4 linked regions of the Schizosaccharomyces pombe genome follow. Changing the gene in region 1 together with any one later gene gives a genetic interaction. Each region holds a gene or a part of one and is shown in the gene's direction. Other genes may lie near its edges.

What was found.
Region 2: mutations in cdc7 (region 1) and cdc37 impair growth when combined (synthetic growth defect), as found in Schizosaccharomyces pombe (one study listed by BioGRID).
Region 3: of cdc7 (region 1) and ppa2, a mutation in one rescues a mutant of the other (synthetic rescue), as found in Schizosaccharomyces pombe (one study listed by BioGRID).
Region 4: of cdc7 (region 1) and scw1, a mutation in one rescues a mutant of the other (synthetic rescue), as found in Schizosaccharomyces pombe (2 studies listed by BioGRID).

What each region holds. Positions count from the first base shown.
Region 1 is NC_003423.3:3,221,162-3,230,512, reverse strand, and holds cdc7 (serine/threonine protein kinase SIN pathway Cdc7), read left to right. Parts: upstream 1-4,007; 5' UTR 4,008-4,082; coding exon 4,083-4,109; exon of another isoform or gene 4,110-4,161; coding exon 4,162-4,296; exon of another isoform or gene 4,297-4,337; coding exon 4,338-4,367; exon of another isoform or gene 4,368-4,416; coding exon 4,417-4,481; exon of another isoform or gene 4,482-4,528; coding exon 4,529-4,782; intron 4,783-4,832; coding exon 4,833-5,294; intron 5,295-5,334; coding exon 5,335-5,576; intron 5,577-5,644; coding exon 5,645-5,708; intron 5,709-5,745; coding exon 5,746-6,098; intron 6,099-6,139; coding exon 6,140-6,274; intron 6,275-6,310; coding exon 6,311-7,732; 3' UTR 7,733-8,162; downstream 8,163-9,351. Other genes in the region: meiotic septin Spn7, read left to right, coding at 21-225, 270-351, 402-495, 647-1,158, 1,198-1,310, 1,353-1,633; serine/threonine protein kinase Ppk24, read left to right, coding at 2,226-3,159, 3,242-3,693; Ras1-Scd pathway protein Ral2, read left to right, coding at 8,332-9,351. UniProt on the Schizosaccharomyces pombe protein: Protein kinase essential for cell division. Plays a key role in initiation of septum formation and cytokinesis.
Region 2 is NC_003423.3:1,827,367-1,834,606, forward strand, and holds cdc37 (Hsp90 co-chaperone Cdc37), read left to right. Parts: upstream 1-3,720; 5' UTR 3,721-3,822; coding exon 3,823-3,845; intron 3,846-3,905; coding exon 3,906-3,932; intron 3,933-4,009; exon of another isoform or gene 4,010-4,261; coding exon 4,262-4,272; exon of another isoform or gene 4,273-4,314; coding exon 4,315-5,654; 3' UTR 5,655-5,764; downstream 5,765-7,240. Other genes in the region: clathrin light chain Clc1, read left to right, coding at 1-486; mdl1 (peptide-transporting ATPase), read right to left, coding at 1,294-3,474; SPOM_SPBC9B6.11C (CCR4/nocturin family endoribonuclease), read right to left, coding at 5,801-7,083, 7,213-7,240. UniProt on the Schizosaccharomyces pombe protein: Co-chaperone that binds to numerous kinases and promotes their interaction with the Hsp90 complex, resulting in stabilization and promotion of their activity.
Region 3 is NC_003423.3:2,283,618-2,292,243, forward strand, and holds ppa2 (serine/threonine protein phosphatase PP2A catalytic subunit Ppa2), read left to right. Parts: upstream 1-3,334; 5' UTR 3,335-3,399; coding exon 3,400-3,540; exon of another isoform or gene 3,541-3,701; intron 3,702-3,832; coding exon 3,833-4,660; 3' UTR 4,661-5,754; coding exon of another isoform or gene 5,755-6,441; 3' UTR 6,442-6,828; downstream 6,829-8,626. Other genes in the region: alpha-1,2-mannosyltransferase Omh2, read left to right, coding at 1-98, 143-210; SPOM_SPBC16H5.08C (ATP-binding cassette sub-family F protein), read left to right, coding at 760-795, 908-2,728; Rieske iron-sulfur protein, ubiquinol-cytochrome-c reductase complex subunit 5, Rip1, read right to left, coding at 5,755-6,441; protein gem8, read right to left, coding at 7,186-7,686; cyclophilin family peptidyl-prolyl cis-trans isomerase Cyp7, read left to right, coding at 7,961-7,966, 8,007-8,035, 8,078-8,182, 8,273-8,626. UniProt on the Schizosaccharomyces pombe protein: Essential role in cell cycle control. PP2A may be involved in controlling the entry into mitosis, possibly acting as an inhibitor.
Region 4 is NC_003421.2:669,813-676,726, forward strand, and holds scw1 (RNA-binding protein Scw1), read left to right. Parts: upstream 1-3,663; coding exon 3,664-5,349; 3' UTR 5,350-5,439; downstream 5,440-6,914. Other genes in the region: pus3 (tRNA pseudouridine synthase), read right to left, coding at 1-948; SPOM_SPCC16C4.21 (uncharacterized protein), read left to right, coding at 1,498-1,743; p21-activated protein kinase inhibitor Skb15, read right to left, coding at 5,953-6,256, 6,321-6,478, 6,548-6,914.

The sequences.
Region 1 (9,351 bases):
CCAACAGCAAACACTTCAAGATGAATAAAGGCCCAAGACATCGTCCAAAATTCTTATCAAAAAAGGGAAAAAAGCTTCGCATAATGGTAGCAGGATCTAGCTACACCAGTTACCAAGCTTGTATCAATAGCTTGTGCAGTAAACAAATACTGGAAGCTGAAACAGAGATAGATCCGCTAAAAGCTCATATTGATAGAATACTGGAAATAAGGGAATTTAATGCTGGTGAGTTATTACGGTTTTAATTTTCGTGTGCTAACTGTAATTAGATATTTTAGAAGATGAGTTCCATGTTGACCTTACGGTCATTGAAGTAAATGGTTTCGGAGATAAAATTGATAATTCAGCTAGGTAATACCAAAAGGTATTTTTCTAAATTAAAGCTAATTTCAATGCATTAGTTTCGAGGTAGTTACTCATTATTTGGAAAGCCAATTCGATCAAGCCTTGATAGAAGAATCTAAAATCAAAAGAAATTCTAAATTTACTGATACGGTACGAAATCTGCAAACAAAGTTTTTCCGTCCTTAACTATTTCAATCAAGTTACTTCCATTACTTGATTTAATGTTGTTAAGTAGAAAACCAAGAGAACACATTGGTTTAAGAATGAGGAATGAAAAAAAAGTTTTCTAACGATATTTTAGCGCGTTGATGCCCTACTTTATTTTATTGCACCCCGTGGACATTGCCTGTCTGAGTTTGATTTGGAAGCCATGAAACGGTTTTCAAAGCGCGTAAACGTAATTCCTGTCATTGGAAACTCCAACGCTTTTACTGAAGAAGAATTAAAGAACTTCAAAGATGTGATAATGAAGGATTTGAAACAATGTAACATAAAGGTATTTGACTTTCCTTGGGATCCTGAGGAGGATGAAGACGAAGTCATTGAGGATAACAAACGACTTTGGGAAAGTGTTCCATTCGCTGTATCTGGAGGGGTATCAGAGGAAGATGAAGAAGGATATCAAAGAATCGTCAAGAAATTCCAATGGGGAACATTCGTAATTGATGATCCTGCACATTCTGATTTTCTTAACTTGAAGACCGTATTGTTTATTTCTCATTTGGATATACTCAAAAGTATAACTAAACAAACCTATTATGAGAATTATCGTACAGAAAAACTGTCCAACGACTCACCTTCGAACACATCATTGTAAGAAATTAACTATGCATAAGCGAGCTAATAAGTTAGGTCATTGCAAAAGCAAAATTCCATAGTTGCAAATGAAGATAAAAGAAGTGTAAATGGTTCTGAGAGAACGGAGACTCGATCTTCGATTGATCAATCAGAAATGCGAACTAATGGTAAGTATATGCATTCTCTCATTTTCGTGCTAATGAACGCAGTCTCCGATTCTACAAAATCTGAGGAGTTAAAGAAAATTAACTCCATCAAAGTTGACAACACCAGCAGTCTTAAATGCGATTCTTATGGAAATACTAAAACTAAAACTAATCAATTAAACTGTGAACAAATTGGATTAGAAGTAATATCGCCAAAGGAATTTCCTCACAGAACTACATCAAGTCGAAACAGTCTACCCAACAATACGACAAAGGAATTGGAGATGAAGAAAATGGATGATTTGTCTCATGAGCGTTACGAAAACCTCCCTTTCTATCGCTAAATTAAACATTTGAGAGTGCAAATTATAAACAATCAAAAGAATAATTTAGTATAAGTTCATGAAAAGTCTTTTGATTTCTTTTTAATTGCTTAATCATACACCTACTTCTCTACCTATGTCCTTAACATAAGCATTCATTAGACTACTAGATTACCGCACCCACACGTGCATTGTTATGACCTACTTGAAACGATGAGTTAACTGAGGGCTGCCGAACGTCTCGTTTGGTATTTTTAAATAAAATATTAATTTACAAATTCATTTAACTGTTGATTACTGAGTAATGAGTCGAATCAATCCAATGCTCATCATTACGTCTTTCAGGTTGAGTCGTAGATGCGTAAACGGTCGTTCATCGATTTAGGCATTCGTGAGCATATGATTTTGGAAATTTCGTTTCTTTCAAAGACGTTATGATTACAACTATGCAATTTTGAGGTTGCTAACACGTAACTCTTTATCTAAACAGAATAAATGATGAGGTTGTTCTGAAAACACTCTTTTTTTAGTAAGAAAATAAAGAAGAAGTACATAAAAAATCAATCAATTTGAAGTCGTAACTAGGCTTCTTAGCTTCAGCGGCTTGTCACTAATGACTAATTATCCTTTTTTTCGCCAGGGGACAATTTTCGTGGACAATTCAGCAATTCAAAGGAATTCAGAGAATAAGAATAGTCTTTCGATTGAAAATATTTTTGGGAGATTTCCTAAAGAGTTCTTCCAATTTTTTTCAATAAATGTTTCTAAATCAACAACCAAGAAGTCTTCCGTCGTTATAAAGCCAAGTACAATTACTGCACCATGGTTAGAAAATGAATACTTAGACAGTAATACTAGCTTACTTTCCGTTCATTCAATTCAACCTTCGTTTATTGGAATGTCTGACTTCGCAATTGGATTAGATCCTTCACTGAAGCGTATATTACCCGAAATAAGATTTCGCTTAGACTTTCAGCATCTAAAATCAATAGCTAAAGGGGCCACCTCTACAATCAAGGTTGTAACTCACAGAGATAAAATCACCGACGCAAAGATATACTATGCTGCCAAAGTATATCGGAAAACGAAAACATCGCATAAAAAAAGATTGAATACAATGGTTTATTTTTTAAGGGAATGGTCAATCCAACCAAAATTGGACCATCCTAATATTCTGAAAGTTATCTGCCCTTGTGTGACTTTGACAAGCGTATTTAATAAATCCGCTGGGTTTTGTTTGGTTCAAGAGTACTGTCCTCAAGGCGATTTATTTAAGCAAATTGAAGAAAAAGTTTTGACCTTAGAAGACAAATGTTGTTATCTAAAGCAAATTCTTCAAGCAGTAGCTTACTTGCAATCTCAACGTATTGCGCACCGAGATTTAAAGCCGGAAAACATCTTAATCGGAAGGGATGGATTGTTAAAGCTCACCGATTTTGGTACCAGCGAAATTGTGGGTAATCCTGGTGATAACGAATCCATTCGTTTCGTATCGGGTGCTGTTGGAAGTTTGGCATATCTAGCACCAGAAGCATTTCATGAAAATGGTAAGTCTTATGTGTATAAATTGTGTAGCAAGACGAGCTCTATCCTATTTCAAAAACGACGTACTAATAGTTCAATTGATAGAATATTGTGGTCTTTTAGCAGATAGGTGGTCATGTGGTATTTTGCTTAAAGTTCTGTTTACTGGATACTTTCCATTTAAAACTTCCGTGAAAACTGATCTTTACTACTCAAAGTATATGTCAATCCTTACAGATACTTGTGGTATTTCTTCAACTGATGAATCCAGTTTCCAAACCGAAGTCATTAAACAAATACCTACATTGCAGCCCCTCAGATATATACCTGAAGGTGCTAAGAAGATTATACTAAGTTTACTGAATCCTGATTCCCAGAATCGGCCGTCGTTGGATAGTATTTTAGGTACTGCATGGGTACGGAAACTGGATTGTTGCAGTAACTTCTCTACCGATCATGAAAATAAGAGTTTACAGGAAGTTGATTTTGATGCTTCTAAACCCATTACAAGGAAAAGTTTGATTCCTCGGATTCATAACCATCAGACACTTGTTTAACGTAGTTTAAATCACTGTCTTTTCTACTTTACTTTCCAAGCTAAAATGAACTCATTCTTCCTATGTACATGGTGTTTCCACTGACATTACTTAACCAACGGATTAGTTCCATCCTTGCCAATATTTTTTATATGTCTGTATAATACGCTTTTTCTTTTATACGAGAATCTTTGTTTATTAATGATTTTATAAATAGCTTAATTATTACTATTTACTTCTTTTGAGTTTATAACATGCAAGTTCAGGTACCGTACTAAATGTGTATGTACACTATAAAGTCCTTACTTCTTCAAACGCAGCAAATGCTACATCGTAAACAAAACCAAATTGTCTTTTCATTCAAAATTACAAATAAATTCAATTTTTAATTTGTAACTTATTCAATAGTCATGCACAATATCCAAGCATCTTCCATCGTATGCTAGTATTTAATGTTAATAGCCATTGGATTTTCAATAACATATTCAGACTCTTGGGGATTGCTTGGGCAAGGGTGCCTTCGGTGCAGTATACCGTGGTCTAAATATAAAGAATGGAGAAACGGTGGCTGTAAAAAAAGTTAAACTATCCAAAATGCTAAAATCTGATCTTTCCGTCATTAAGGTATGAAGGGATCTCAACTATTTTTCTCTAACAATTTTTAGATGGAGATTGATTTGCTTAAAAATTTGGACGTATGTTACTCATTCGTTTATAATGGTCGCCAAATACTAAACGTGGTAGCATCCAAATATTGTTAAATATAGGGGATCTTATCAGACGAACGATTCTCTATGCATTATTCTGGAGTACGTGATTTTCTTTAAAAAATTGTTTTCAAGTTAACGATATATAGATATTGCGAAAACGGATCGTTGCGCTCAATTTGTAAAAACTTTGGAAAGATTCCAGAAAACCTAGTGGCCTTATATACGTTTCAAGTATTACAAGGGCTACTTTATCTACATAATCAGGGTGTTATCCATCGTGATATTAAGGGTGCCAATATACTTACTACTAAAGATGGCACTATCAAGTTAGCAGATTTCGGGGTTGCGACGAAAATTAATGCTTTAGAGGATCATAGTGTTGTTGGAAGCCCCTATTGGAGTAAGCCTTTTCTAAGCGTATAGTTATAACATTACTAACAATTTATATAGTGGCTCCCGAGGTTATAGAGCTTGTAGGCGCCACAACAGCCTCAGATATTTGGAGTGTTGGCTGCACAGTTATTGAACTGTTAGATGGAAATCCTCCCTATTATGATTTAGATCCTACGTCCGCTCTTTTTCGGATGGTGAAAGATGAACATCCTCCCTTGCCTTCAAATATTTCTTCGGCTGCTAAAAGTTTTTTAATGCAATGTTTCCAAAAGGACCCAAATTTACGAATTAAGACCAGAAAACTTCTTAAACATCCTTGGGTGATAATGAACCAAACCTCCTCTAAATTTTCTGACGCTATAGACGAGGTTCAAAAATATAATGAAAGAGTGAAAGAAAGCACTTTGACAGCTATTATCGAGCCTACTTCCAACAGAATCAATCCGACTCTTCATTCTGGCAGGCAGTCTTCTTATCACATGCCTGAGTCTCCAAAAACACCAATTGCCGAGTCCCCAGGTAGCTTTATGATACTTTTTAACTACTCTAACATTTTTAGATCATGATAACTGGGACAATGAATTTCAAGGAACCCTTAAAATCAGTGACGATGTTTTAAAGAAATCTGAGCATTTTATGGATTTTTGCAGTAACTTTAAAGGAAAAAATAATTCCAGCTCCATAACATCATCCCCTTCGAAGTCTCGCCATGCTTTTAATTCAGATCAAATCTCTGAATCAAACAACTTTAATGCATCACCGTTGAGTACTCCTCTCAAAGCCCAATTTGATCCCTCTAAGGTAAATAATGCAGCTCGATTTTCTAGAGCTTTTAATGATTTTAAATAAATAATTAACCTTTTTTTTAGCCCGCTCTCAACCGGTCAATAGATCATCAAAAAACTCCGCAACATAAAAGATACTTGTCAACTGGTAAGTATCTGATACTAACATATAACTAATTATCTAGAGTTTAAAGAGAATATACCAGACGGAATTGAAAAATTTGTCGAGACACCCAGAGATAGTGAATTTACTGATATTTTCCCTACATCCTCAATCAAAGTTCAAGGATTGAGAAAGGAGACTGGACTGGGGACTTTGGTTTTAAACAAATGTTATGGCTCGTGGAATAATGAAGAAAATGAGGATGGGGAAGAATCGGATATCTTTGACTCTATTGAAACAAACTTAGAAAACTTGGATATTGAAAACAACATTGCTTTAGATAAGAGAACGCATCTAGCTTCCTTACTTTCCAGTCTGTTAGGCTCACTACGTGACAAGAATATCGGATCGAAGGATACAACTGTTTCGCAAATAGTAAGTGCATATTTTTATATTGATAATTTAACTGACAATAGGCTTCTATACTTAGTGAAGATCTTTCTCTAAAACGAGAGATAATACAAGCGCATGGTATCCTTCCACTTTTAGAGACATTGCGCGAAATAAAAACGCCTGATGTTCAATTGCTGTTATTAAAGCTCATTAACACTGTAAGGATATTTAATGCGTGATTTTACTAACGTTAGGTTGCATTCGATGATCACACAACTTTACAAAAAGTTTGCTTTGCTGGAGGTTTACCGCTTATGTTGTCATTCTCTAATCGTGAACACTCTTTTGAGTTTAGATATGAAAGTGCTATCTTTATTCAACAGATGTATAGAACTTCTGCTTTGACATTACAAATGTTTTTGAGCTCAAATGGTCTGAATTCGCTTTTATTATTTATTAAAGAGGACTATGGAACGAACCGTGACTTTGTTTTTGTTGGCGTAGAAGGAATATGGAAATTACTGAGACAACAGGATTACATTCCAAAAAATGATATCTGTACGATGGTTGTAAATGATTCACTAGAGCCCTTGACCAAAGCCATGCTGAAAGCTTTGGCTACTGACGATGATTCTTCAAGAATGTCATTAACACGTATATGTGAAATTTTATTGGCTTTATCTCAGGCTGATAATTATGTTAAGGAATCACTTCTTTGCGAAAGTGCTCTTCGAAGGATATTGCGTATTCTGCTTTATCTGCCGCATTCTGATATGGCGATTACCTTACAGTTTTTCAAGCAACTTTCAATGGTTCCTTCATCTTTGTCGCTTCTTAGGAAAGTTCATATAATACCTCTTTTGACACATATTCTCGGTGACAGCAAAATTGAGAAAGGACGAAAAGAAATTAGAAGCGAAGCTTTGGCCGCTTTATTCAATGTGTGTAAGCTAGATAAGAAATCGCAAGAAGAGGCTGTTATTTCTGGTGCTATTCCATTATTGCAAGAGGTGATTATTAAAGACAGACTGTTTAAGGAGTTTGCGCTGCCGATATTATTAGCTTTGCCACAGGCTGGTCCAGTGTCGAGAATTTATCTTTGGCAAAATAAATGCTTAGATTTTTTTCTCTCGTTATTATCAGATCTTAATTGGCAATCTGCGGTATTTGATACGATCGCATCTTGGTTGCAGTTTGAACTCCGTGAAGTACAACGTGTTTTGGCAGAGAAGAGAAACGTACAATTAGTGTTAAAGGTGTTCTGTATTTCTCAATCAGCTTCCTCAAACAGAATGCTAGATACTTTGGGCAGGGTTTGTCAAATTTCCCCAAGATTGGCAGCCTCTTATGGCCAGCCTATAATATTCCAGAAATTTAAAGAAAAGTTAACTCATAAGGGGACCAAGCCGATTGTGGTCCTAAACATATTTCAAATTATGAAATCAATGTGTGAAGCTAGTAGCCAAAGTGTTGCTTATATTGCGCATTGTGGTTTACCAGATGTGGTTGCAAATTTGAACCAAACAAGTGATTCTGTGCTTGTTAAAGAACTAGCAAAAGACCTGCTGAAATACCTGAAGGTACCACAGGGTCCCATCAATGAGCACAAATCCCCCATTTCGAAACCGCATATGCCTCCACCTAGATGGCAACCAAAGCAGCCATTAACGCAGTGAACACTATTAAACGCATTTCCCAGTGCACGACTATATTACTTGTTTATGATATTTCTGTATTTATGGCTTAATGATTAATAAATAAGGTTGGGATTATGGAATCAATATTTTTTAAACGAAAGTTTTGCTAATTTTAATATTAATATATTATCATTCCATGTGTAAGTACGTTACCAGTTGTGTTTATACCTGAAATACAATCTAATTGAGTACCGCAATGAAGACTATTTATTTACCGAATCTATATTGATGAATCTTAGAAACGTTAAGAGAAAGGTTTATAATATGCTTATCACAGTGTATATTTATATTTATTCATTCAAGTGCTTCGAATTTTAAAATCTAGGTGTGCATAAAAGTTAACTTCACTATATCAGTTAACGCTACGATAGTGCAATACAGGAAGAAATATGCACTAAAACAAAAGGACAACAATGATTTTTATGCTTCTCATTTTTGGCTATTAATTTGCTGCTTTGTTTATTGCATAAATCTTTTTTGACTGTTTGCATTTCAGTAATTATTAATTTTTATGTGGAAGGAAAAATCACTTTTTTGATATTTCTTATTAACGTCGAGTTGCTAAACAGTTTATATCTATGTCAGAAGTAAAAAGGAATATATCTTTGAGAAATTCAACAAACATTTTTACTTCTACATTTAGTTTATCTTCAAATAATGTCCCAAAACCGCTGATTGGGGAGTCAGTTATAAAATATGGAGACGAGGCTTTTGTATATGGAGGACGCGATGCATTAAATGCGCAGCTTGTTAATGATATGTATGTAGTTGATCTTAACACTTGTTCCTGGAAGCAAGTTGAATATCAAGGAAATCAAAAGCCGATACCACGGTATTTCCATTCAGGGGATTTATGGAATAACAAATTAATATTCTTTGGTGGTATGGGATTTAATGATGATACAAAATGTCTTTATGTTCTTAACGACATCGACATATATGATATTGAGACTAAGCAATGGTCTCATATACCTGGCATGATAACAGAGAATCAGACAAATGACGATGCTAAAGAAGTCAATGGATCTGATGTTGATGAAAAAAGCAAACACTTATATCCATCAGCACGTTACGGACATTTGCATTGCGTGTTAGATCATTATCTTATTATATTTTGTGGGCAAGATTTATCAAACAGCTATATTGAAGAGATAAATATTTTTGACCTGGATTCGGGAAAATGGGTTTTTAAATCCCTGTTCAATCATCACTGTGGTATATACAGATCGAATTGTGTGGTAATAAACAAAGATAGTGAATTTTTACAGATGTGTCGACCAATTAATACAACTCAGGATTCTAATGAGCACTCTATCGGTTCTTTGTTTTTTTATTTAAATTACAATTTTGTCAATGTTAAGAGGCAAGTAATATACTTGGAATTATTTGAATTAGATACTGCCGAAAGTGAAAAAAAATCAGCCGCTTTGGCAAAAGATAATAACCAATCTTTCCGTTTCCTAGAGCTTGATGTTACTGAAAAATTCTTAAGTTCAGCAATGCCGCCGGGACTAAGGTTTCCTGCTGTTAACATACTTGGAGACAACTTAATATTATCTGGAATCTACCTTACGAGCTCCAGACAGGCATTCGTGCTT
Region 2 (7,240 bases), 1.4 Mb from region 1:
AACTTTCCTCCCATAGATGCTGAAATGCAAGCCTCTGGTACCTTTTCCGCTCCGAAAGCTCCTTACATGGGTCAAGCCGAAGTTCATCCCCCTGAAGACGAAAGCGGTGACCCCGAACCCGTTCGCAAGTGGAAAGAGGATCAAATGAAAAGGATCCAAGAAAGAGATGAGTCTTCCAAAAAGTTGCGCGAATCTAATATCGAGAAGGCCCGCAAGGCTATTGATGATTTTTATGAGAATTTTAATGATAAGAGAGATAAAGTCATTGCCAAGTCGAGAAAAGAACAAGAAAAACTGTTGGAAGAAAATGAAAGCAAATCTACTGGAACTACGAGCTGGGAGCGTATCCTGAAGCTTATTGATTTATCCGATAAGCCTGAGGCTCATGGCCGCTCTACAGAACGCTTTCGTGAACTTCTCATCAGCCTTGCAAAAGATAGCAATGCTCCTGGTGCTGCCGGCACAACTGTATCCTCTTCTTCTTAGAGATAAAGCTCTCCAATCCTTTTTGCTTTCAATGCTTGCACACTACCCTTCCTTTTGACACAATTAGCAGTGTTTAAAATAATATCTGACTAAGAATTTTTTTTATAATTTATACTTTTTTAAGTATTCAGTTCTCATATAAAATTCTTTGTCTACCTACTACAGATTTGTAACTATACTTTTTCTTGGATCTGTGCTTTGATATTTAGGGTATGTCTGTTTATTCGTCCTTCCCTTATATTGCGTTTCATAACGGTATGCCGTCTCTTGGTGTACTGCTTACCGCTTTTTATGCTTGTTGATTTTGTCGACTTTCCACCCTTTAATATGATTTCTAAAATTATTTAAAAATACTTGAACCTTTTACCGTTGTAGCAAATACTGAACGTCCGTACTGTAGTTATTTCATTTAATGTGATTTGTATCTAGCTTCACTTCCATTTGCCGCATAAACTACTGGACGATTTTTCATTGTCGAGATTTACAAGCGTAACGAATTTTGTGCAATTAATATATATTCTCTCTCTTTTAATATTTGCTCCTTTCAAACTTAAGTTTGCTATTGGGGTTTTAGATTTTACAGTTTCTTCTCAGTTGATATTGCTTAAAGGAACAATTTCCGCAGCCCTTTCTTTAAATGCCAAACTAATTACGGAACTGAATATTATTAATTTGCTAATCTTATATGCCAGCGAAGAAAAAAAAGAATAGAGTACCGATGTATTTAAAGATATGATTGAAAATTGCGTCTTGAGAGTACGCATGAATAAATTAATAAAACGAACAAGAGATACTTCACGTTTACGATCAAGGTTCAACTTTTCCAAGCTGCCATCTCATTAACTTGTAAAAGTTGGTACCAGGACGAGACAATCGTTCAAAAGACCCTTGCTCCAAAACTTTCCCGTCTCCAACAACAATTATTTGATCAGCTCGGCGAATAGTAGCCAATTTGTGAGCAATCGTAATGGTAGTCATACTACGATTATGCATCAAAGATTGAATCGTTTTATCCACCATTACTTCTGCTTCACCGTCTAATGCTGAAGTAGCTTCATCCAAAATTAAAAATGCTGGATTTCGAAGAAGTGCCCTAGCAATTGCAATGCGTTGTTTTTGTCCCCCGCTTAGTTGTAAACCACGAGTCCCGACTTGCGTAGACCATTTCTCCGGGAAAGAAAGCACAAAACTACAATTCGCTCGTTTGGCAGCATCTTCGATTTCCTCTTGAGATGCGTTAGATTTACCGTAAGCAATATTTTCGCCAATTGTACCAGAAAATAAAACCGGTTCTTGTCCAACTAAACCAAAATGACTGCGCCATTGATGAACATTATATGTAGAGATGTCAACTCCGTCAGCTAATATTTTCCCACTACTAGGTGCGTAAAAGCGCAAAAGGAGCTGTGAGATGGTGGATTTTCCACCGCCACTAGGTGCGACTATAGCAACATTGGTGCCTGGATGAATGTCGAAAGATAAGTTATCAAATATTGAAGCTGAAGGACGAGTTGGGTATGCAAACCCAACATTTCTGAACGAAAGTATTGCCTTTCCGACTGTGACTGGAACGGGAATCCCAACGGTTGGAGCTATCTTCGGTTTAGCATCTAAAAGTTCAAATAACCGACTAGCAGCTCCCAGACCTTTCATAATATCAGTAAAACATCCTGATAAGCCAACAATGCTTCCACCGGCATAAACGGTATACAGCAAAAATGAACTTAGCTGTCCTACAGTTATATCACCTGCAGCAACCATTCTTCCGCCTAACGCAAGAATAGCGATTACAGTTGCGTTCCCAAGGAACCCTGTTGACCCGAAGAAAATACCGCTAGCAAAAGCCTCTCGCTTTGCCAGGACAAAGAGATTTCGAATGTAATCGTTGTAACGATTTACTTCTTGTCTTTCTCCTAGAAAAGCCTGTGTAGTCCGAACATTTGCGAGTTTCTCTTCTGAAACCCTTGTTAAATCACCGAGAGCATCTTGTGTAGTCCTGGAAAGTTTCCGAACATACTCTCCATAAAAGAAAGCTCCCAATGCAATTGGGGGTACAATTAGGGACATATATCCAGTGAGTCTCATGGATACGTAGAGCATCATCCCTATTCCAGCAATTGCACTAACTGAGCTACGAAGACCATCACTTAAGTACATTGATAAAGACTTACCGACAATACTCGAATCCGTCGTAAGACGGGATATGAGATCCCCATGTTTATGAAAGTCAAAAAATGCTCCATCTAATGACATGCATTTAGCAAACAAGCGTGCTCGAAGACGACTGACAATTCTTTCACTCAGTAGACGCAAGGTGATGATTCTACCAAAGTTACAAGCTGAACCAAGGAAAAATAAACCCAACAAACCAATATAAAACGTACCAGAAGGAATTCCCATGATATGCGTGACAGAAGAATCGCCTGACGAGCCAGCGTCTAAGATTTTGCCAACAATGTAGGGAATGGACATTGTAACGCCGGAGGAAACTAAGAGAAGAGATCCAGCAATAAAAAAATTCCATCCCTGACCCCTTGCTAGTGTGAAGAGACGAAAAACATTGACTTTCTTGTTTGGTGTTTGTAATGTACCATTTGTATTTATTTTTGAGATATCCTGTGCTTGCTCATCTTTTGATGGAACTGTAGAATTATGTCGCACACACAACTTTAAAAAAGCAAGTGATCGTATAGGAAGAATAGATCTAGAAAAAGGTAACGGAAAACTATTTTTAAAAGGATATATCTTAGAACCACTTGAGGCCTTTTGAGATAACGAGTTTAGGCTCACATTAACCTGTGAAGATAACTTACTGGTACTATAATATTCTGCATTTGGCGTGGGAAGTAATAGAGTATTCGTACTTTTGTAAGCCACGTTGTTTTTCAACCAAGTCAACGGTACTAAATAGTTTGCTCGAAATATTACGCGTTTATTGTAGCAGTGAGCGAATGGTACTCTCGAAAGTCCAAAACGTATTGGATCCATCCATGAATGTGCCTTTCAAAGGAAATGAACGGAATCTTTTCGAAACGGGGTTTACACAGGCTTTTGGCAACAAAAGGTGCGCAAAGTATGTACAAATAAATTATTTAATATATACTTTTTATTAGTATTCGTTCTATCAAATTTTCTCTTCTCTACGGTATTAGTAGTTTCGATAGAATTTCCACGAAGTACTCTACATTCGCATAAGGTAGGTGCTTTGGTACATACTAAGATTTCATTTACCTTAACACAACCACTTCTCTACAACAAGTCAAATCGACGAGAATAGCAAAGACATTTGTGTCTTTTACTTTTTTTAAATTTCTTGAAATTATAATTTGCTTCGAGATGGCAATTGATTACAGCAAGTGGTAAGTTTATTGATAAGTTTGTTTTTAAGTAGGCGAATATGAAGTTAACAGAATTGACAGGGATAAGCTAGAACTTAGTGATGACAGGTATGAAATATACGGTTTGGAGAGGAAATCGGCTCTGTAAGGACAATGGTTAAATACTCTACATGATGCCTTTGATTGGAGTACAATAAAAGAAGTCGAAATGAAATTTCATTAGTAGGATGGAATAAATTCAAAAATAAAATTCAGACTCATCTTTTTATCATTTTGAAGGACATGTTGGGTTCAAAAAGGCAATCATTAATTTGCAGTTTGTATATTTGATGCCAATTGGGTTCTTTTAGCTAATAAACAACCATTGTCAAAACATTCCTTTCTTTTCCTTCTTCATTTATTTTTCGTTTTGATAAATTCATGCTAACAACATTTAGTGACATTGAAGGTTTGTTACGGGTTGTATTCATATTAAATTAACCACATGCAGTTCATCCAAATGTCGATAAAAAGTCTTTTATTAGATGGCGCCAACGTGATATCCACGAAAAACGGGCTGTTAGAAAGCAAAAAATGGAAGATATCAAAGGTGCAATGGCGATGAATCGTAGACTCTTGTCTCGCATCTCCGAAATGGAGACTGTTCTTGAGAAGGAATCTCCTTCGGATCCTTATGTTTTATTGGGTTCATTTTTAGAGGCAAAAAAGTCTGAAGATATGGATAGTGCCATTCCTGGAGGCATGTCGTATCATCATATGCTTATGTCTTTATTAAAAGTAATTAAAGATGCCGAAGACACTACCGAAGAAAAATCTATGGATGATTCGGATAAATGCTTGAGACGATTAAAGTCACACAAAGAGCGTCTTCTGAAGTTGCTAGAAGATGCACAAAAGGAGTATGATACTTTAGAGGCTGAGAGTAAAAATTACATCACTTCTGAAGACTTGCATTTGGGCTTTGATTCCACCTATGTTCAGAAAAAGGAGCCTGAAAAACCTAAAAAGACTAAAACCAAAAAGGAGACCATCCAGGTCATTGAATCTCTTAATAACCCTACACCTCCTACTGATTTTCCCGGCGCTAAAGAGCAAGCTTCTACTGGTAATGCCCCTAAAAATCCTGTCAATGAGAATGAGTCGGAAGATGAAGAAGGGTTGTCTCTTTCTGAAGATGGTAAGAAGTTTGCCAATATTGATTTTGGTGATTATTCTTCATCGGAAGAGTTTTTGAAAGAACATTTAAATATCTTGGCAGATGAGGAAGAATCTGATGCTATTCTTTTGGAAGCCTTTAATGCTGAACTAGAAGGGAAGCCGTCCTTAGCAAAACAATATGTTCATCAAGCCCTTTTGATCAGCTATTGCAGACAGCTTGGACCAAATGGTTTATCAATATTTTTTCAAAAAATTAAAGACCCAAATCACCAATCTCAGCGGCTATTTTTAGAGGATGTTCATAATACATATGTCCGAATCCATGAACGTTCTGCTGCCATCAGCAAAGAACAAGCTGAAAGCGGTGAAGGAGTAGAACAAATCCAGCTCTGTGCAGTTGATCCTAATACGAAACTTTCCATCACCATCCCGGAGGCAGGTTCTACTGATCCAGAGACACAAAAAGCTCGTGCAGCTTTTGAGTCTTTTCCTCCTAACCTCCAAAAAGCTCTTATGACCAATGATTTAGACAAGATTAATGTAGTTCTTGGAAAAATGGCAGTTGAAAATGCAGAAGAAGTTGTGGAAAAGCTCAGCAGTACTGGTATGTTGAGTATCGAAGAAGGAATCATCGACACAACGAAAGGTGAGACTATTCCTCAATTGTCTTAAATTTTTCTGCTTACGGGTGTGCTTTTAGTAAGCGAAAACACCAAAGTTACATGTTTGCCGTTGGCATTTTTAAATGGATAAACAACAATGAAATTTTATTTATTGATTTACCATACCTTGTGTGTACCGTATAATAAAATAAGTATTTAAACAATTTGTACATTTGCCATCAAAGCAACGTGGTCGCTGGGATATCTTCCTTCTAAAGGCTCCGCTTCCTTCATCTCACTGGGTAAAGGCACACGTAACAGTGCCTTTAATTTTATACCTTCAACGACTTGATTTTCGGGAGTTTGAAGTGAGGTATCACGATTCATAACAAATATGTAGTCCAAATGGCCCTGGTAAGCATGAGCCCAATTGGTAAATGCTGGATGATCAAACGTATTTTTTGCATTTTCTGGGTGAACCAGTTTATAGCCCACTGAATAAAGACTGAAAAGTACGGGATTTTGCTCGTGCTGCTGATAAAAAGAACGGTAGTGAGGTACATAGTCATTTTGTACATGCAAAATTCTCTTTTTTGGGGTAGAAGCTGTGGATTCGGGAACACTTGAGGTAGAAGAGGATTGACATTCTTCTTTGTCATCTTCATTGGAATCATTTTCTGTCTTAGTACTAGCATTTTTTTCTTCCAACTCAGATTCCCCAAATACGTAATTCATACTACGTTCTATAATGTCAGTAGCCCTTTGGCAGATGGATAGAGGGCGGGTAGTTAGCGCAGGAAAGTTGGTATCGAACGGTTCAGTGTTGAAGTCACCAGCTATAAAAACAGGCCAAGAAGGATGACTTTGTGCCATCTTGTTTACTTCCTTTACCAATATTGCACCTTGGCGTAACCTTTCGTAAGAGCCGTAAGGATGCCAAAATAAATGTGTAGTAGCCAAGAACAACCCTCTGCTCGGGTCATCTACCCTTTCAAGGCGTACACAACAACCGATGTTCTTGGTGTTCATTCTACCTGGTAATTCATCATGATCATCGTAATAAATAGTCAAATCTTGCACCTTTTTGAACAAAGAGGATTTCCAAAAAATCATAATTCCATGAGTTTTACCTTCACCTTTTATGAAATGCAATTCATAACCCAATCCACCTAATAACTTCTTGTAGAAATTAGGAACAAATTCAGCATCAACTTCTTGCATACATCCCAAAGTTGGTGAATAATAGGTTAATTCATTAGCGAGCATTCGTGAGCGATTTTTCCATTTTAATGCCTCACCACTGTGTGGAAACATTGAACGACGAATATTTGTCTGAGCAAGTACGTTGTAAGTCATAATAGTAATATCCAATGCAGACTTTTCAGTTTCAAACGGTGCATAATTAGGGATGGAGAGCATTTCACGCTTTATAAAGTCCGTATTGAATTCGGGTGGAGCATTGCTTGGTGGAGCAATAGGTTTTCGAGCAGCCTTCTTAGCTAATAATCAGTTAATAAAATTGAGCAACAAAAAATTAAACAAAGGAGTAGAGATTCGGTCTTAAAAAAAGTTTCACAACAACCTTCTTATTGTTGCTCGACTAGATGAACGAAAATTTTTTTTCATACCCATTTTCTCAAGTTTTTTTTGGCGTTG
Region 3 (8,626 bases), 940 kb from region 1:
CAAACTGCATTACTTTGACGAAATAGGATATTCTCATGCTCCTCTTCTTCATTGCCCTAGAAAGGGACGTTGCTTCTGTAAACCGGAAGAGATTGATTGTAAGTATAATTAATATACTGCACATTTGCTGACAATTTATTAGTATCGTCCAACTCTTCTTGCATAGCTAGGTTCATTAACCTAACTAACGAAGACTACGATGAATTATAATGCTTTTGTTGCAATCAAAATGAACAGAACTTTTTAGGCTAACAATTTGTGTATTGGAAATGTCATTATGCAACGAGGTCAGGATAACCCTGAGTAAGATATTAAATGTATTTTATTGTGTTTTAATTTATTACTACAAGGAATTCTTCTCAAAGTGTTTACTTCATTGCACTGTTATCGTAAGCAAGTCGACATGCGTAAATCAACAGAATATTTGTTTTTGTTTTGGATTCATAACTCTGAACAATAATTAGTTAAACAAAATTTTCTCTTATTTAACAATTTATTTAAATCCCTTACCAGCACTACTATTCTATAATTATTTATTAATGCACACACTTTCTTTGTCAAAATAGTGTAACAACTATATTGTTATAAGTCTCATAAAATGGTTTAACATGCCCATTAAAAGGTCCGTATTTTTTTTAAGCAATTAAAATTTTTTACGCTATATTTATTTATTGTATTTGCTGTAAATTTATCTGAAAACGTCACAGGAGTTCCTAATGTCAATTTTTTTTCGACAAAATTATTCTGTACTTAGCCAACATGTCGTCCAAATCAGCGTCCAAACTGAAAAGAGAGGTAAGTTCCTATTAATGAATGCTGTAGAGAAAAAAGTCAAATAAATAGCTTATTTCTAATTTTTTTCGATTGCTTTTAAAATTTTTAAGCTCAATCGCTAACAAATGTTTAGGCTAAAAAAGCTGAGCGCTTAGCTGCTAAAGGCGAGAGCGTTAAGCCCTCTAAAAAGAATGGAACTAAAAATGGAAAAGATAAAGAAGTCGATGGAGTCACAAAAGATTTGTCGGAACTTTCTACTAGCGACCCTATTTTTGAAAGAAGTGCTTCTGGTGTCTTAACTAGTCAACCAATGAGTCGCGATATTAAAATTGACAGTTACACCCTTTCTTTTCACGGACGTCTGTTGATAGAGAATGCCACTATCGAACTCAACCATGGTCAACGCTATGGTCTTTTGGGTGATAACGGTTCCGGTAAAAGTACATTCTTGGAATCCGTGGCTGCTCGTGATGTGGAATATCCAGAACACATTGATAGCTACTTGTTGAACGCAGAGGCTGAACCCTCTGATGTTAATGCTGTCGACTATATTATTCAGTCAGCAAAAGACAAGGTTCAAAAATTGGAAGCCGAAATTGAAGAGTTATCAACTGCCGATGATGTTGATGATGTTCTATTAGAATCCAAGTATGAAGAGTTGGATGATATGGATCCTAGCACCTTTGAGGCAAAAGCAGCTATGATTTTGCATGGTTTGGGATTTACCCAGGAAATGATGGCCAAACCCACAAAGGACATGTCTGGTGGTTGGCGTATGCGTGTTGCACTTTCTCGTGCTCTTTTCATCAAACCCTCTTTGCTTCTTTTGGACGAACCTACCAACCATTTGGACTTAGAAGCCGTTGTTTGGTTGGAGAATTACTTAGCGAAATACGACAAAATTCTTGTTGTCACTTCCCACTCTCAAGATTTCCTCAACAACGTCTGTACCAATATTATTGATTTAACTTCTAAAAAGCAGCTTGTCTACTATGGTGGTAATTTCGACATTTATATGCGTACTAAGGAAGAAAATGAAACCAATCAGATGAAGGCTTACTTAAAACAGCAAGAGGAAATTGCTCATATTAAAAAGTTTATTGCTAGTGCTGGTACCTATGCAAACTTGGTACGCCAAGCCAAGTCGAAACAAAAGATTATCGATAAAATGGAGGCTGCCGGTTTAGTTGAGAAGCCCGAACCTCCTCGTCAATTCAGCTTTGAATTTGATGAAGTTCGCAAATTACCACCACCTATCATTGCTTTTAACGACGTTGCTTTCTCTTATGATGGTAATCTTGATCACGCTTTGTACCGTGACTTGTCCTTTGGTATCGATATGGACTCCCGTGTCGCCATTGTGGGTAAAAATGGTACCGGAAAGTCTACATTGTTGAACTTAATCACTGGGCTTTTGATTCCCATTGAAGGCAATGTCTCTCGTTACAGTGGATTGAAGATGGCTAAATACTCTCAGCACAGTGCCGATCAGCTTCCCTATGACAAGTCTCCACTTGAATACATCATGGATACTTACAAGCCTAAATTTCCCGAGAGAGAACTTCAGCAATGGCGCAGCGTTTTGGGCAAATTCGGTTTGTCTGGTCTTCACCAAACCAGTGAAATCCGTACTTTATCTGATGGCTTGAAAAGCCGTGTTGTGTTTGCAGCACTCGCTTTGGAACAACCCCACATTCTTTTACTTGATGAACCTACGAATCACTTGGATATTACCTCTATTGATGCCCTAGCCAAAGCCATTAACGTATGGACTGGTGGTGTTGTTTTGGTTTCTCACGATTTCCGTCTAATTGGTCAAGTTTCTAAAGAGTTGTGGGAAGTTAAAGACAAGAAGGTTGTGAAATTGGACTGCTCCATTGAGGAATATAAGAAGTCGATGGCCAAAGAAGTTCAATCTCGTGATACTACTGCCAAAGTTAAGCATTTGATTTAGTTAATTTATAGATTTTTGGTTAGGGAATATGTGATACATTTTGAGTAGTGGGATTAATATAAAATGTTTATTACTTATTTGAAAGTGTTTAAGAAGCGTATTGCTTTTGGTCTCATCGTTGTAATTGTCAAGCTCTATCATTGAGTGAAGCTATTAAGCCAAAATTTCATCTCTGTGTACTGTTCAAGAATTGTCGTTAAGTCCGATTTAGAGTGGAATTATCTTTTTCCACCGACTATAGGTAAACTGTACTTCTCAGCATTTATGCGTGAAACTTTATACAGCATCGGTTTTGAAAACTATGTACGCTTCTTCTCGAAAAGACTAATAATAACCCATTCTATTAAAAAATGCCAGTGAGCTCGTAATTTCTCTAGTACCTTAGAAAACGCTACACAGCAATCTCGTGAATTCACATAGTAAGCGCAAACTGTTGAGAAAAATCCAGGTTAGTAATCAATAAATAAGAAATGCAAATATTCTATATTATTAATTGTATACCAGATCGCTATGCTGTTTACACATAAAGTCGATTTGCCATAGCTTGTTAGCAAGCTGATGATACGCAAGAGTAGCCTGTCACCTCTGTAACGGTCTCAACTTACCAAAAGCAACACACGGTTAGAAAGACTTATAACTTGCTTTTTACTATATACAAAATTCCATAATTAATGTCTATAGATCCAGCAAATGATAGTAAGCTTGCTCCGGAGGCGAATGACGCTACTCTAGGAGACGTTGACAGATGGATCGAACAGTTGAAAAAATGCGAGCCTCTGAGCGAAGCTGACGTTGAAATGTTATGCGATAAGGTAAGTGAACACTAAGGAGAGTATATATGTGTATCAGGCTTGGTTGGATATATCCCAACTTTGCAAGTTCTCATTTTCTCTTGATTTCTTGAGATTGTTCAGTTTGATATGTTTGAGTTTGAACTATCCAGCTTATTTCGGTTTGATTTCTAAAAAGATTAATATTACATTAATGTCGGGTTTCTAGAAATCTCATCCTATAAATATATGGTGGTTAAAAATTACGTCGGAGACTCTCATCTATACCAGCATTTTTCGTGTTTTCGCAGTTTTTGCTAACCATTTTTTCTAGGCTCGTGAGGTTTTATGTCAGGAAAATAATGTCCAACCTGTCCGAAATCCAGTTACTGTTTGCGGTGATATTCATGGACAGTTTCATGATCTGATGGAATTATTTAAAATTGGAGGTGATGTGCCTGATATGAACTATCTTTTTATGGGTGACTATGTTGACAGAGGTTATCACAGCGTCGAAACTGTAAGTTTGCTTGTTGCAATGAAGTTACGCTACCCTAACCGAATTACGATTCTTCGAGGAAATCATGAATCTAGACAAATCACTCAAGTTTACGGATTTTATGATGAATGTTTGCGTAAATATGGATCCGCTAATGTTTGGAAACATTTCACAAATTTATTTGACTATTTCCCTTTAACTGCTTTAATTGAAGACCGTATTTTCTGCCTACATGGAGGTCTTTCCCCGAGCATTGATTCATTAGACCATGTACGGACTTTGGATCGTGTACAAGAAGTTCCCCATGAAGGTCCGATGTGTGATTTGCTTTGGTCAGACCCTGATGATAGATGTGGTTGGGGAATTTCTCCTCGTGGTGCCGGATACACCTTCGGACAAGACATTTCTGAGACATTTAATCACGCAAATGGATTAAGTTTAACGGCACGAGCCCATCAGCTAGTTATGGAAGGATTTAATTGGGCACATGATGGAGACGTAGTTACAATTTTTTCTGCCCCAAATTATTGTTATCGCTGTGGTAATCAAGCAGCTATTTTGGAAGTTGATGATACGATGAATCAAGTCTTTTTACAATTCGATCCTGCCCCACGAGAAGGCGAACCGGTAATAGCTCGAAGGACACCAGACTACTTCCTTTAAAAGTTTCAATTCTCTAATGAGTGATCAATCGATTGTGATTGTTTCAAAAAATTTATCCACCTTTCTGATTTTTGAGTTAATACTCAAGATTAAAAAGACTACTTTGTACATCCTCCGCATACGAATCTTCAGACTGTCTTTTCATTTCCAGGACTTGTCAAGTACCTTTTTTGCAAGGAAATCTTAAAATCCTTATATGTATTCCACTTCAAGCCATTGCAACCGTGTCTTATACGTACGTGAAATATTCTTGTTAATTTTGATAAGCACACTAGGATTTTTGGTTGTGGACTTATTTCTTCGAGAAATATCTGCTATTTAATATGTCGTGATAGCGATTAACGACTGCTGCATAGTTGGATGGTATTGTTTTGAGACAATATTATGAGTTAGAATTAGGCATGCTTAAGCAGTCATGTGCTGTAATGAATTAAACATCCTAAAGCTTTATGACCAAACTTTTTAAGCCAGCTTCATGATTCCATATTTGTAGAAGTTTGTCTATAAAGAACTTTTAAAGAAAAAAAATGGTTTATTTGTCTAGATATTTATTTATTATTGATACTTGTCAGATAAACCTACAATAACTACATATTTGAATTGTACAACTTTTTTATTCAAGTATAAGGGGATACTTTTGCATTTCACAAACCTTGAAGGCAAGAAGAGTACTCAAGGATTATATATATTTTTAGCGGTTTAAGAAACTACCACCAAAGGGAAAGTAAAGTTACATTAGACTACGATAAAATAAGAACCATCTGACTTGCATGAATCAGGCGTCACATACAAAATTATTGATTTACGTCTTGGAATAAGAGATTCAAGGTTGCATTAATTGAGAATGAGAAGGGGGTTTGTATCAGTAAATGACTATAACAAGAAAAAGGAAGTCTGCAATTGCCATCTTGACTGCTGTATAAGCCAAATGGACCAACAAAGGCTATGAGAAAGTGCATTGGACAAATAAAAATAAGAAGCAAGTAAGACAGCATATGACTTGATCCCCAACAGGCTAAAGAAGAAGTAAAAGAGAGGGGAGAAAAAGGAGGGAGGAAATCAGCTAGGACAAAAGTTTTTGAGCGAAATAAATTTTATCCGATGATAATTTTGCTTCCTTCAAACGTATAAGCAGGAATCGCCAAGTTAAGAGGTGCAGGACCACGGCGAATACGACCAGAGATATCATAATGAGAACCGTGACAAGGGCAGAACCATCCGCCATAGTCACCAGCTTCGCCAATGGGTACACAACCAAGATGAGTACAGACACCAATCATAACAAGCCACTCGGGTTTTTGAACACGGTCAGAGTCCGCTTGAGGATCCCTAAGAGTGCTAATATCTACAGAATTGGCTTCTTGGATTTCTTCAGGAGTACGATGACGGATAAAAACAGGCTTACCCTGCCATTTGACGACAAGGTTCTTTCCCTCTGGAATTTTCGACAAATCAACCTCGGCCTTCGACATAGCCAACACATCAGCAGATGCAGACCAACTCGCCAAGAAATCATGAACAGTAGCTTGAGCTCCAGCGGCTGTAAGAGCACCCATTGTGCCTACCATGGCATAAGATATAACACGAGAACGATCACCAGTGCTCTTTGTTTGATACTCCGAAAAGTCTGGCATTTCCGGAGAGTCAGTATATGTACGAATAGAGGTAAATTTTGGGATGGTCATCATTGAGCCCTTCAACGACGAAGCAGTGCTTGAAACGGGAAGCAACCGTCTTAACGAAGATGCTAACGACTTAGAAATAAATTGCTTGGCCAGCATTTTTACAACGTTTTAAAGAGAAACAGGTTGTTGAAATATTCGGTGGGTAGCGGTTGGGGAAGAAACGTCAAGCTGCCTCTGGTTTAAAAATGGCGGCGTTTGTGGGTGCTGTGATTTGCTAAGAAGGTTAGTTGTATTTACCGAATTCACCGATTGATGAAACTACATATCCGAAGTTCTCCGAAAAATAACGAAGTACACAATAAAAAATTAACATAATTTTACAGCTACTTTTAACGATCAGTACAGTATAGTGCTAGACTGTGCAGTACATATATCATCACGAATCGAAAATCCTATATCTTTCAAATTCCAATATTATGGTACGCTAGAGATCATTTTGTTTTATCAGATATAATTTTCCAGTCTATTTTACTAGGTTCCGTATAAGAACATAGCTGGATTTACGTTCTTCCGTCCAGCTATAAACTATTTGGAGATTATAATATTATCCAATATTTAGATGTTTACAGTAGTATCATTCATCACTTTACAAGGTACAGCACCTGCATAAAACAATACAACAGTATTAGATTGAAAATTATCGTATTCTTTCACTAGCCTTAATTATTTTAAGGAATTGGTATATATCATTAATCATAGTTCAATGTAGAAGAAATGCAATATACTTATGTATAATGTATTCATGAAGATTGGTGACATTTATTGAATATTAAGCGTATCCTTCATTAATATGCAGGAAATTTTTCTACTCTATTGAACATCATCAATTCATAAAACGTTCTATCCTCGTATTGGTGTTGCCGGCCAATATTTGATAGGTAATGCAGTAAACTTGCGAAAAATATTATCAAGTATTTTTTCTTCCTCTAAAATTTCATAAGCCGAGTAATGGAACTGGTTTTGATATATTTCGATATCTTTCAATTCTTTTAATGAGATTGGTGTTTTTGGGTTGGTTTCTGGTTTGGAAGAAACCATTCTCTCCTTGTCCAGTGCTTTTTGTCTTAATTCTTTTTCTTTTAACAATTGCTCCTTCTCCTTTTTCCACATTAACTCCCTTTTTTCCGATTCACGGAACCAAAGAATTTGCTCATCTGTTAACGTTCGTATAGTCCCATCAGGATAGCGCTCTACACTTTGTGTATACTCAACGTTTGCACTTTCTGAATTTCCCCCACGATCGTTTTGCGCGAAAGCAACATTCCATAGGTTTACTGCTTTTGCATTAAAATGCTCATCATGGAATTTCTGTAAGTCTCCTTCTGTAATTTCAGAACTCATTAAAAGTTCCGTGGTTTTACACAATATTGGATTCAGTAAGGATTACTTTGCTAGTTGTAACAAGTTGCGATGAAATCAATTTGATGAACGAGCAAAGCTACGCTAGAACATTTAATGAATCACCCAAATTAAAATACTGTATCGTAGTGAATTTGATAACCCAATTAAAGCAAAACAAGGTAATACGTTAGGATTATACTAACAACGCAAACTTACAAGATGAGTAGTTTCTTTAAGAATTTAGCGATCCTTAATATTTGATGTACTTTATGGAATGGCCGTAAGTATATTTTTCTTGCTCCCTTCGACTAATCTCTCAGACTTTGACCAACTTGGAGCCTTTGGCAACGTATGTTTTTCAGATTTCCAGTTACTTTTACTAACATTATAGGGGGACTGTCATCCTTAAAACTACTCGCGGCGATATCCAGATAGAACTTTGGTGCAAAGAAGTGCCGAAGGCCTGTAGAAACTTTATACAGTTATGCTTGGAAGGGTAAGTTAAATCGTTGATGAGCAACGTTGTAGTCCCAAATGTTGCAACATTAAACTGCTTCGGGTTTACAAATATACTAATTAAATACAGTTATTACGATGGAACCATTGTTCATAGAGTTGTACCAGAGTTTTTGATACAGGGTGGAGATCCTACTGGCACTGGAATGGGTGGTGAATCTATATATGGTGAACCTTTTGCTGTAGAAACACATCCTAGGTTACGGTTTATAAGAAGAGGATTAGTGGGAATGGCATGTACTGAAAATGAGGGAAACAACTCTCAATTTTTTATCACCTTAGGTCCAACACCTGAATGGAATGGCAAGCAAACTCTATTTGGACGTGTTGTAGGGGATACCATTTACAATGTAGTAAGGATATCTGAGTTAGAGTTAGATGCCAACCAACGACCTGTTTTTCCCCCAAAAATAATTTCAACAGA
Region 4 (6,914 bases), on another chromosome or scaffold:
AGGTATTCGAATGCGATACGAATTATTAAATGTATTTAGCAAAACTTGCGCATTCCATCCAGTGCGTGTAAGATGAATAAGGATGCCAACCATTTTGCGAATTTGATGCTTCATAAACGACTGGCCGTGAAAGATTAGCTTAACCCATTGGCGATTTAACTTGTCAATGTGAAGGTTATCCACACGCACATCTAATAAAAACCTTCGAGAACTGGCGTCCGAAAAACCCTTCTCCGTTGTATAACTGTGAAATCGATGGGTGCCCCGAAACATCGTACACGCATGCTTTAGAAAGTCGAGTTTAGGTTTGGATAAACGAAAGGGCTCGGACAAGGAATTCGCAACACAGTCTTGTTTGCTTAAGTTAGCTAAATGGGAAAGTGTTTCATTAATGGGGAATGCTTTTTCAGATGCCTTGGCAATTACATAGGCCTCGAGAGTGCAAGGACGGGGAGTAAGTAGAGAGGAGACAGGCAACCAATACTCATATACGCGACTGTCGCACACAGTGTGTGGAGAAAACGAATTAAACGTCCTCGCCATTTTCCATACACGAATACAAGGTGGTAAAATATCGTTGACCAAATTCACCACATGAGGTAGAGGTTGATTGTCCAACACTTTCAAACCAAGAACATTAACAATGGCATGTACACCCTTGTCTGTTCTAGCAGCAGAACACATTCGGATCTTCTTGGGAGAGTCAGCATTCACCTGAACAACGGCGCCTACTCGAGCGAATGCTTGGAACAGTGTATCTTGTATGGTTTTGACATTGGCATTGTACTGCAAACCAGCAAAGCCAGTACCACGATAGCTGACAACACAGTAGACCATTCGTTTCCGGGGTTTCACCGAAATCGAAGAAAAGAAAACCCGATGTCGTTGGAGCAAGCAAAGCACAGATTGGTTGGCAGAGAACCTTGAAGGTCTTAAGAGACTATGCATAGTTTGAAAGATGAAATTAACTAAGCAAGTTTTTAATGAAAGAGAGGAAAGGTACTACAGATGGCATGTGCTCAAGCAAAAGTTAGGATATTAAAAAAATATTAAACTAAGGGTAGAAGCACTTCAACTGTTTTTCATGAACAATATAGAATATTACTATAATTTTTTGGAAAGAGCCCTAGCTTCCATGAATAGTCTTACCCACAATACCCTGTTGTTTATCTATTTTCTTTTACTAAACCAAGCTGTACATACTAGATACCACAAAGAAATACCTTGTATCTCCTTTCTACCCCTTTGAATGGACAATGAAGCCGAAAATTTGCCGTTTTTAGAAGGTCCTTTTTTTTCAACTTTTATCGAAAATTAATTTTTTTTCAGTCGTTTCAAAGGTCAACCTACAAAACTAATTCTTTTCGTTAGCAACCGCTTTCTTATCAATCTTTGCTTCTTTATTTACTGTTCTCTGCTAAATTTTCGTTGATTTATTTAAAATACCTTCTAAACCATACTTTTTCTTACTACCCGGGTTTTGACAAATTTTTTTCTATGCAGCTCTATCCGGCAAATGTTAAGGGATTGAGATATAGTGAATGTTGCATCTTAACCGCTAACCCATCGGTTCAACATTTTGTCATGCATGATGATGCTGGTGTTCCTCTAACGTACAGCGTTTCCACACTGCACGCCGAACTTACCGACCACCTATACCTCCCAACCACCAGGAAAACAGTCGCAGTAGGCAAGAAAACGCTTTTTGTAGTGCAAAAAAAAAGATTTAAGCCGGAAACATAGCAGAATAGCAGAAATTTGATATTTACTGTTATCATCTCCATTATTATTTGGATTAGTTTTCGATTGTCCTTTCATTCATCTAATAACGCTTGTTTTTCTTTTTTCTTTTTTGCATTCTCAGTCTTGGTTGTTTTGCTATTTATTGCGTTCCTCGGTTTCTCCCTATTAAATATTTTCTTTTCATTGTTTTTACGGAAATTCTCATTTTTTCATCTTAGGGGCTCGTTGACTCAGCCTGCACGACAAGGAAAATTATATCCGTTTCGGAAGCACAACGTGTGTGTTGAAAGTCTTACTTTTCTTTTTTATTTTTCTGTACCCTTTCATTGAACTTTAGCCATTTGTTGCTTTGTTGAATTTTGGCCATAAATAGTTTTTCAACTGGGTTTTTATTCGACCTCCTTTCATTATTCATTTCATTTTCATATCTATCCATTTCTATCCCCACTAAACAATTTTGTGTTTTTAGGATTTCCCTATTCTCAATCCATAAAATAGTCACGATTCGTTTTCATTCAGATACCCGGCTCCTTATTTTTTTTTTTTTCGAAATTTTATTCACTCGTTTGATTTCGTTGATTCATTTCTTCCGCCTTTTACTCATTACTTAAGGGTATTTGCTTATTAAACGTTTGGTCTTTTTTTTTGCCCATCTTTTTGTTCATACAAAGTTTTGTGACATTTATATAATATTTAGTCTCTTCGTTTTTGTGTGGGTTACCTTTTTTGTTTTATTCTTTTTCTTTTTTTTTTCTCTTTCTTCCCTCTTTGTTTTTTCTTCTGACCCTATTTTATGCCTTATTATTATTTTGATCAAGTTTCAATCATTTTTTCACAAAGATTTCATATTCACTTTACTTCTTAGTTTTTTTCTTTTTATTTGAAATTTCTTGGAATCTTTTTGCCTTTTTTCTTTTAACTTGATCTCTCTTATTTAACGTTACTTAGAAAAGCTTCTTTTATTTTGCTTTTCCTTTCATTCTTCGCTCCTTTATAAACCGTGTTCATACTTCTTTTGCTTACGTTTTGCCAATCTTCCCAGCAATTTTACTTCTATCTTGATTGTTCTTGTTGTTGGATATTTACTCTTTGTTGATAGCGGTATATTTTATTTGCTTCTCACTTTTTGCCCGATTGCTTTCCTTTGATTTACCTCTCCAAAAAAAAACAAGTGTCTTTTGTTTACTTGTTTGTATATTTGTTTATACTCTGCTGATTGAAAAGTTGATTGTTTATTTTATTTTTCCATCTGCAACCATTTCTTTTTTTTTGAAAAAAAAAAAATCGCTAACTGATTTTTTTAAGCATTTCGAATACCTTCGAAGTCTTTTTATCGATACTTTTGACGATTTCTTCCTCATAAGCCTTGCCCTAGACTTTTTGTTAGCTCGGTATTTTTGCATATTTCAGTCATCTTTTTTTCATTTTCAGTTTGTGTTTTTTGCTTCACAGTTGTATCTGTCTCTCTTTTAGCAACTAGAATTATTTGTGGTGGTCAACAGTTTACCCTTTGCTCTCGTTTTCTTGAAGTTACAGTCTTTCTTTTATTATCTTCGTCCAGTATTCTAGGTTGTTGCCCTTCTAATTCTTTCGCGTCAAGTATTTGGATTTTTCTAATACTTGCTAACAATTTTTACTGAATTTTTTATTTTTCTTCATTGCCCTTGCTTATTTTTATTACTTACACACTTTCTTTTTAGTCGACCAACTAGGTTTCTAACTTTTTACTCCACTTATTAACTATTTCGTGTTATTAAGCTTGAAGCCTCATTTATTATCGTTTGGGGTTTATTTAACAACTACTGCTATTTCATTTGTGTTTTACTTTTAGGCATCTATTGCTTATTTTGGTTACTTTATCAACCACTTTGTCATTCTTTTTTCTCTTCTTTTCAATTACCATTATATATAATTTGCAAAATGTTTGTGGGATCACCGAGCGCTATTGAAAAGCCTTTATCGTTATCCAGTAAGACCAAAGTCGGGGACGAAACCGAGTTTACTGAAGATGCGCTACGTGGTTCATCGTTGGTTCCAACCGGTATTCTGAATGGAGATGATGAATGTCATGCTCTTCACATGTCTCCTCAGGCTATTCACAGCCAAGCTGGGAAAGCTGAATCTGACGGTTTACCTACTTATGCATCTGTGGAAAAATCCACAACTCCGATTGGTAGACTCCTCTCTAACCTCAACGGTGGATTAGCCTCTGCTCCTCCTAAGGTTGGATTCGGTTTTCCTAGATATTATGCTTTGCGGATTGAGGATTTACCTAGGGACTTAACACCCAGAGAGTTTTTATGTACCTTTTTATTCGCTACGAATGTAGTATCCGTCGAGCTTAATCCTGTATCCGTGGATAATGAAGTTGCTCATGGATTGGCGGTGTTTTCATCCCGAGATGCTGCTGCATCTGCTAGAGACACTTTGCTATCTAGCGATGTTTATTCCGCGTGCAGCATGATAATTTTAGACAATTATCGAAAGGGAAGTCAAACAAATCTTAGCGACGAAACTGAGGGCTCTGAGAGTAGTGTTTCATTTAACAGACTGTCTCGAAACCATTCTCCAACTCGTCCACTGTTAGGAAATCGTGATCTTTTCCGCAGGTCAAGTAATCATGTGTCAGCCAGTATGCCTACTGCAAATCATTCGGAATCTGCTTATCGTCATTCAAAAACACCTTTGGGTGATAGCACTTTTCAGGCTCCTAACAATGGAGGTAGTTTGCATTCCGATAGGTTGTGGTCTTCTTTCCCTGTTTCTTATCCTTTAACACTCGCGAATGTGTTAGCCAAGGATGAAGTTGGTTCACCTACGTGGTCACCCACTCCTTCCAAAAGTAGTACCAATTTGCGTCAAGACGGTGTTCCTCCGATTTTGCGATTTAACTCATTATCTATTAACACCAACGTGGCGCGCAATTACCTTTCATCTGAAAAGGGTTATAGCGCTCATACCCAAAATTCTAGTGCTCAATCACCCCATCCTCGTGTCTTTTCGGCAAACAGTGCATTCAGTACAACAAGCCCTCCTCCCTTGACACCATCAACATCAAGAGACTACCCATTTTCAGCTTCTACCATTTCACCTTCCACACCATTTTCGGCTTATTCCTCCAGTCATGGAATTCATCAACGCATCCCTGCTTCTACCCCCACGAATACCAACCCTGCTGATCAAAATCCTCCTTGTAACACCATTTATGTTGGAAATCTTCCTCCTTCTACTTCCGAGGAAGAGTTGAAAGTTTTGTTTTCCACTCAAGTTGGATACAAAAGACTTTGTTTCCGCACTAAAGGCAATGGCCCCATGTGTTTTGTTGAATTTGAAAACATTCCATACGCCATGGAAGCCTTGAAGAATTTACAAGGTGTTTGTCTTAGCAGTAGCATTAAAGGTGGTATTCGTTTGAGTTTTTCGAAGAACCCATTGGGAGTGCGCTCATCAAGTTCATCGCATAACAACCATAATGGAAACGTTCGTAACCTTCACTCTGGTTCCATGAATAATTACAATACAGACTCTTTGCTTAATCATACTGGTGGACATAACGAAGTCCACGCCAGTCCCAGTTGGGGTAATAATCTAATGTATGGCAAATAGCTCATCTAGCATTTTCTCGTCTTCATTTTATCATTATTCATCAATACCTTGCAAGGACTTTAGGTCCAAATTTTTTAAGCATATTGTTTCTCTTTTTTTTTTTTTGAGTTTTGCATATTGATTCTTTGTTAATCAAAAGTTGCGATCTATTCCACTTTGACTGCATGCAACTTTAACCATCTGTTAAGCTTAATTACAATTTGTCGATTTATGCGATCTGTTTTATTTCACTCTTATATAAGATGGGTACTTGCATTGTTTAGTTGTCATTAGGATTTATCATTTGCTCATCATTTCCATATACTTCTGCTACACATATCAATTTACATAATAATATCGACTTTTGCTTCTAAATGAACCCATCTTAAATTGCTAAACAAGTACTGTAACAACTTGGTTAGATGTATTTTTATTGTAACACCCAACTTAAGCTTACATACAAGAATTTTTAGGATACATTGATAAGCAAACACTTAATCCTTTTATAAATATTAGTATAGTCTAGGTGAATAAAATATTTCCAACAAAAACTGTATAATAGTAATCCCGTCCTTTCCCTATTAAGTTGAAATTGATTTACTTTTTTTAAAATTGCGAGGAACTTTAGGCATGCTTCGTCCTTTTCACAGGCGGCTGTTTTGAAGTGCTGTAATATTCTGACTCCGATTCTGACTCTGAAGAAGTTTCAGAAGTTTCCGAATCCAAACTTTGACGTTTCGCAGCTTCATCTTCGACATTTTTGGGTTCTGAATTGCTATCGGCCAACATAGCTACCATACAGGTAATTCGATTGCCTTCTGGAATGTTATGCTCAATTACTAAGTTCCAATCTTTATCCCATATACATACTGAACCATCCGAGCTTGCAGTAATTAAATAATCATCAACAGGGTAGACAGATTTGACGCTAACTTGATTAGAAAATTTTGAATTTTTAATTTGTTGAGTATAGAATATAAAAAGACACTTACCGTTTCTTATGCGCCGTAAATTCATGTAAAATCTTCCCATCAGAAGTATCCAAAACCAGTACTGTTCCATTATCTCGTCCAACTATCAATTTGGATTGATAGAGACACAAAGCGTTCAATTGAGATTTAGAAGAGAAGCTGAAAAGGGAAGTGAGATCCTAAAAATGTATTAGTAATTTATAAAAGAAGGAGGAAAATTGCATATAGAAAAATGCATAAATTCTTACCAATTTAAAGGCATCAATGCCTCTTCGTGACATAATAACAAATGACGACTCATTCAGGAAAAGAATAGATTCTGGGATAGTGCTTAAAGGTAAAACTTTACCTCCTTTACCTCGTACAAGGTCCCAGAGCCGCAACTTTCCATCACCTCCAACTGTTAGGGCCAATTTTTCTGAAGGGTGAACTGCTATACCAGTGATGCCCTTATGAGAAGATGACTTAAGAGTATGAACCAACAACCATGAACCTTTAGACCACATACTGATTTGCCCGTTATCATGACATGCTAAAAGGTGATTTTTAGTAAAACACATATCTCGGATACATGCATTGGCGATATCTGTAGGAACAGAAACATCGGCTATTTGG